Drosophila melanogaster: one gene and its partner. The protein of the gene in region 2 interacts with the protein of the main gene of each other region in a pairwise test. Each region holds a gene or a part of one and is shown on either strand. Other genes may lie near its edges.

Evidence for each region. The genes of interacting proteins can lie anywhere in the genome.
Region 1: the proteins of CkIIalpha-i3 (region 2) and CG13838 interact in a two-hybrid assay, tested with the Drosophila melanogaster proteins (one large-scale study listed by BioGRID).

What each region holds. Positions count from the first base shown.
Region 1 is NT_033777.3:23,040,425-23,043,169, reverse strand, and holds CG13838 (uncharacterized protein), read right to left. Parts: upstream 930-2,745; 5' UTR 838-929; coding exon 562-837; 3' UTR 501-561; downstream 1-500.
Region 2 is NT_037436.4:708,068-712,300, forward strand, and holds CkIIalpha-i3 (CKII-alpha subunit interactor-3), read right to left. Parts: upstream 2,295-4,233; 5' UTR 2,291-2,294; coding exon 2,243-2,290; exon of another isoform or gene 2,217-2,242; coding exon of another isoform or gene 2,181-2,216; coding exon 1,671-2,180; intron 1,547-1,670; coding exon 1,490-1,546; intron 1,428-1,489; coding exon 1,266-1,427; intron 1,217-1,265; coding exon 1,145-1,216; intron 1,088-1,144; coding exon 1,013-1,087; intron 957-1,012; coding exon 924-956; intron 862-923; coding exon 643-861; 3' UTR 534-642; downstream 1-533. Other genes in the region: CG13896 (uncharacterized protein), read right to left, coding at 2,875-3,620, 3,678-3,690.

The DNA of each region.
Region 1 (2,745 bases), on a different chromosome or scaffold from region 2:
GGTTATACCGCTCAGTCTACTACATATACCATGCACCAGATGCCGCGGGGCACAGACAACAAGAAGTAAAAGAAAGGACCCCATATGGTGCCGACGGCTCAAGTGATTAAGTGCACGACGAGATCTTCAAATGCAGTGCAACATGTGCACAAATACAAAACACACACACACACACACACACACGCATATTGAAAATGTATGTAAATTCTAATTAAGATTGTGGATGAAGACCCCCAGCACCTTGATACTTCTGCTCAATGCGCATTGCGCATGCGCAGCCCCGCATCCGAAGATCCATAAAAATAGCTCACTAATTATTTGTGTGCTAGGGTTACAGTTCTCATAAAAAACAAACAAACTGTCGGGCGTTTTATGGATCTTCTGCCTCTATGGCCTCAATGCCCCCGCGAAGTTTTCGATCCCCATTCGATTCGAAACCGAAGAAGAGCTACGACCAATCACTTTTCAATTCCTATGAGCAGTTGAGCATCAATTGATTTCGATATGAAAATAAAATACATTTATTTATTATCACATTACGTATCACAGCCATTCGCCCGCCTACGCCCTGGCATCTGGATCGCCACATCCATCGTGCGGACCTTGTGCCGGCATTTCCGAGCTGATTAGCCTCCGAATCTCGACCAGAACCCGGTCCGTTCGAGCCTCCAGGTTGTCGAGGGCGGTGTTTAGGTCATCCAAGCTGGAATTGACTCTGGCCATCAGACGCTCCGAGTTGTTGGTCAGCTCGATGAGGTCATCGAAACTGCTGGCCTGGCGACTCTCCATCGATATCCTGTCCAGATCCAGCTGCAGCTGCTCATCGGCGCTGTCCATCTGGGCTTTAAGGGCTGGGAAAACAACTTTCGATTTAAATTTAAATTTTTTTCACCCTAAATCATGATTTTCGGTGTTATTTTGTGCCATGCGATCCGAAGTGTAAAGCAAATTTGACTTGGTTTGTTTTGCTATCGAACATAATTAAAGTTGCTTACCATAAACCAATTTAATTTAATTGTAATTGCAGCTAACTGGCTTTTGGGTACTTTTGCTTTTAACGCCAAATGTGAAATATTAAGTATATTTTATTTAAGCGATGGCACCTGTAAATTGAGATTTAAGGGGTATATTAAATGGGTGAACTTGATGATTTTTTTTTTTCATCAAACGTTTATTAAAGTCTATTGCTTAAAAAAATGAAAGTAAATTGCTTGCCATTTTAGGAGGATATTTTTGAAAAATCGTTACAACTTTTCAAATACAATAAATTAAATGTTTTGAAAAATATTTGCGCCCAGGGCACCAGAAAGTCCACTCTTCTTTTTCGACTATTGTTTGTTTTGCTTTGTTTGTAATTGGCGAGCTATTACAAGAGCTACACTCGTTCATTTCATTAAACCCATTTACAAAATGGCTTTGTCCATTATTTATACATATCAATTATAAATTTGTGCGCTGCGACTGCAATATTCATATTCACTTGTCAAAATGTCAACTCAAAATAGAATATTTATGAATTTTTATGTGTGCATATCGGTCCGTGATTTGTTTGTTTTACGCTCTCCTTTCGAGAACTCTTTGTTAGCATTCAGGATTGGGTTGAAGTAAATAATAAAAAAAATGCAGCAACCAGAAAAGAGGAGAAAATGACAATTCAGCCTATAAATACGCGGCGGCAACCGAAGTTGAAATCAATTTTTTTGGCCCCATACTGCGGTGGTCGCGTTCCCCCCCACCCCCGCACCAGTTTGGTACTGAAAATTGGAAGTGGGCTCCACCGAATGCGGTGCCACTATTTAGTTTAGCCGCAGAACAAGGTGCCTCAATTTATTTTTAATTGCATGCAAATTGAGCCAATCGGCCGGCTGATGGATGTGGTTGCTTGTCCAACGATGCGGTCTTTTTTTTCGGCTATTAAGAGGATGGACTGCTGCTCCTTTCTGTTTCATCTGCTGGCTTAGGCATTTTCACTTAATGAATTTTCATTCAAAGTGACTGCTGCAAGGATGTGTCGTCCTGGCTGTGAAGTGAACTTCCTGCCATTAACCGAACTGCTGCTGCTGCTGCTGCCAGCATGGTGGCCAAAAAGTATGCCTCTGTTGACGTTTTCTTTGTGGTTGGCTAAAATCTGTTATTATTGCCATTAAGCTGGCTTTTGTTGTCATCTCTCCGGCCTGCCTACATACGCATACACATACATCTATGTATGCATATGCATTTGTGCATTTACCCTGCCGATATCCTTCAGCTCGAGTGGTTGTGTGGATTTTCCTGGTCTTCCAGCGGGTTAACTTGGATCTGTTCTTGAGGTTGTTATCACTTGGTTATTGAATTTTCCGCACACACTTTACAAGCTCTAAATCTAAACGGCTCAACTTGTTGCCGCCGCCCAGTTTGAAAACGTTTTTGTTACTGCTCGTCGTCATTAGTTGAAAAGCGCTCTTAGTTTGCCTCGTTTGTTTGCCGAAAAGTCTCATTGTTGCCACGTCTTTGGGTCCGGCTTCTTCTGGTTCTGTTGTTGCTGCATAACGCAGCCTGTTGTTGTCATCAGGTTGCATTTGCGTTTTACACTGTTTTGCCCAAATAAAGGCATATAATTTATGTGTGTGGTAGTAGTCCTGGTCGTTGTGCCACGTTGAATGTCCTTACCGAGCTTATATCCGAGCGGAGAATACTAAGTGAGCTGCAGCTCCATTGTGGTCCATAAACTTTGTCACGCTGTGTAGCCTCTTCCCTGGCTGCCGG
Region 2 (4,233 bases):
TACCTCAGTCGGAAAGCTTAGAGCATAAAGTACACTTTGTTGAAAATATACAGCAGTTTTTTAGGCACATTAAACAGAAAATATGTGCGGTCGCACGTGTTTAAAGTTGCCAGAGCGAGTGCAACTCAATGACTGAGCATGCGGTCCGAACATTGCAGAGATCTGGACTCTCCTCCGTTTGGCGGAGCGGCAAAAACCGTATCTTTGCGAGAGACATTCCGCTCTTTCTCTCGCGATCTAAACCGACTTCCCACGTTCCGATTCCGATCGTGGTGGTATTCGTTCGCGGTATGGGATTTATTTTCGGATCGAGAGTAAATATTCTCTCGCTAAAGCAGCTATAACTGGTTTAACATGCCGAAAAACACAAATCGCATTACCACCTAATCTGAGCTGAAACTGGTTTGATATGTACACATACATATATATAAAGCTATTTTTGCTCAAATTATATCTAGTGCTTAATTTAACGTTTACCACATTTAAGTGGGACCCTGTTGGTTATTCCACTCTATAAACTCTTTTCGCATATTACAATTATTTACACATTTTGGGTCTTGACTCTCAAAGGCAGGACACACGAACATTTTAATTGTAGATTACATATAAAAACTAAACTTTATTTTTGTGGCGTCAATAAGATCATAGATCGAAATCCTCGTTCTGAGGCGGATTTAAAACTGATTTTTCAACTTCAGTAAGTAGTCCAATGGCCCGATAGTTATCATTTAACATGGCGTACTCCTGTAAGACCTTCACGTAGGCCAAGGCCATATTTTTACAGTCGATGGATTTCAGTGAATTTTGTAAGGAAGCGACTACTTTGGGGTCCACATCGTCTTGACTGGTCTCATTTTCCTCCTGTCATTGAGTCATTTATCGTTACGTTAGTTCTATTACAGTCCAAGGACCTGTTTACTTACCTCAACTGCTGCCGTGTCGTGAGATTCAACAGTCTAAAAAAAAACATTCCAAAATTAAACACATTTTTCAGGTTGAAGAAACAACTAACCTCCTTGATCTCATCTTTTAAGGTCGTTTCCTTTTCCAATGACCCAATTTCCTCTTCATCGGTAAATTCACCATGCTAAGAAAATTAATAATAAGTGCTAATGTTACTGTTGATCTACTTGTACACACCCACCTCTATCTCTATTTTAATTATAGCTTCTTCAGAATCCGTACGCACGCGTACTTCTAATTTTTTCGACTTCGCCTGCAATAATAGTATTAATTTATGTTGCGACTTTTCAATAGTGTCATACCATTATTGGCGTTTTGTTGGCTTTCTTATTTCCTGCCGCTTTTGCTTTTTCATCATCAGACCATTTTTTACACACCTTACAAAGTTTGGATGGACGATTCTTAGTCAGCTTTCTTAGGTATTCACACCTCTTACAGCCACTTTTAATTAGACCGCTTTGTTGCTAGGATTAGTTTTATATTTACTAGCATTTAACTTATCCTTTATATGTTTGGCTATACTCACCAAGCTTACAGCTTCCTTCCACTTGTTGGTTTTTGCATTTAACATATTTCTAGGTTTCTAAAAAAGCATATCGAGTTCAGTCGAAATTCGATCAGAATTCGATGAGAGTTTTCATGAAAACATGGATGGATATTGGAAGCGCAATGAAAATATGTATAAGTTCTTTTGTAACGGTTCTTACATTGATCAGCTTTGGTTTCTCAGTAAGTTGCTCAGTTTTGTCCATCTTGGCCTCCGTCAGCTGGACCAGGCGATCCCGCCACCTGCGGCAGATTCTCTTGGTCTTGCGCTGTTCCTGCACCAGTGAGATTGAGCTGCCCACTTGGAACTCGCGCTGTGTGGGATCGGTCTTTGCCTGGATTTTGTTCCTCATCTCCACCATTTGCTCTATGTATTGTTTGACCTTGATGATTTCGGCATCCTGCAGGCCAATCAGAATGTCCCTGTACTTCCCAATAAGTCCTTTGAAACGTATCACTTGCATGGCAAGCATCATGGACTGCGCCTTGTAGGACGTACGCTTCGAGTTATTCTTCTCCTTCTGGATGACAGTGCGCAGCTGATCGAGCTCGCCATAGGTATCATTAAGGTAGCGGATGGCATTACGAAGATTTGACTCCGCTGTGGCAAAGGCGGTAGCATCCGGTGGACGAAATCCTGGCGGGGCAGGACCCAGTGCAAATAACCGGGACTGCAAGTTGTCCGATAAATTGGATTCCTTTTCCATAAATTTAACAAAACTTAGACTTCCACAATATGCTTTTTTGTAGACTTCAGATTGGTATTGCCCATCCGATGCATTTAGGGTTGCAATTTCGAAGTTATCGATAAAGTTTGCTTCATTTGATCAATATTGCATAATACTATAACTTTTTATTAACTGTATTACATGTTTTCACGATACTAGTTAATTCTTTTCAATTATGTTTGAATTTTCTATTTTGTGCAACCGAAGGTCTTTTCTTGAACCTTTAGTGTCATATTGGTGCTGCCAGATTTTTCGGTTTTTGTCAATTTCCAAGACGAACTTGCTTACAGATCGGCGTTGATCTCGGCAGGATTCACTTTGTTACTCTTCAAAATACTAATAAGATTTCAGAAATGTTGGTTTTTCTTGTGAAATTCCTTTAGATTGTTGTAACTATAGGTTTTAGAAAACGGTATTGCCACAGCGCAATATTTTAGCCAATACCCAAGCCAGATTTGTTTAGAACCAGATTCATTTTTCAGTGGTGTTAGCAAGTGCATGAACCATATTTAAATAAAGTAAATTAAAGTATATATATTATAAAATATTAAAATCTTAAATATAGAGGTATAAATTAGGTATGTGCCTTATCTTATCTTTGCTTTTCCAGTAGATTACGTGCTTGTTTATAAGGACACTACGTTTGATCCACCTCGAAGTCCTTGATCTGGGCTGGATATTGAATGGCGTGCTCCACCTGTATTAGCAGTCCTATGGCCCTGAAATTATCATGGATCATGGCGTACTCCTGGAGCGCTCTTAGGTGTCTCAATGCCTCTTCGTCGTTGCTGATGGAGATCTCGGCCGCAGACTCTGACAAATCATTAGTATTGGGTTCGGCGGCATTAAAGACTGTAAACTGTTCCCCATCCCGCTGCCGATCCGTTTGCACTTCGTAGTCCTTCTGGATCTTGATATCGACATCATCCAATGGCTGCTTTCGTTTGCGATACGTACGCATTTGGCGGGGAATAACTGTGCTGACAGTGGTGCCCATAGACAGCATCCTGCCTTTCTGGATACCGGTCTCCAAACTGACCACCGCTTCATCGAAATCATTGATGGAAAGTTCCTGCGGCGGTGGGACAGGGTCATCCTTTAGAATTTCGGACATCTCGTCGTAGAACTGCCAGTTTGGATGGAAATGCGGTACCTTCGCCAGGAGCTTGCTCCTTATGCTATAGTAGGTCTTCTTCAGGTTCCTAAATTTTCGATCCAGCTGAACTGCATCGATATCTGTCATTCCCTGGCTTTCAAGGGCAACGACCATTTCCCCCCAAATGTCCTTGATCTTTTTTTTCGGATCCCGAAAATCAGCTTGGCGTTCATTGTAAAGGGACAATAAAAGTCGGGTGTTGGATGTACACCACTTCCTTTCGTAAGCTGGCTTATTGTGAGTATATATATAGTTTTCTTCTTGAATTTATGTTTTTTACTCACACTTTGTATCCATTGTTTACAATAGCTATTCAGTTGATGACGAATAAGTTTTGTTTCCCAGGCTGCCAGTTCTTTCGGACGGCGTAAGAGAAAGGTATCATGATCCAAACATATGTGTTTCGATTTTTCTCTATCGATAACTATCGAAAAGGTTGCACGAAACAAAGATGGGAATAGGCTTTCGTTTTTTGAAAATGGATTTTTTGCCTAATCTATATCAATACTCGCTACCGAAGAGAACATTTATTTTATATAAATACTCATCTTAGCCTCATTTAATTGCCATTATGTAGTTTTTGAATTTAAAAATCTCGCAGTAAGGATTTAGTGAGTACTTGCCGCAGGTTGAGACCTCCCGCAACTTAATTATAGAAAGTTAATATTGAAATGGACCTACATACATTACAAATAAGCACATAACTATTACTGTGCTGCCATCTACCGGCAATGCGACTTTCATTTACAGACGCTAGATGTCGCCCAAACAGTTCGTCGATAGGGGCGCAGTAGTATAAATGTAAAATAACCGGGTACCGTATACTCGAGTATACACAGT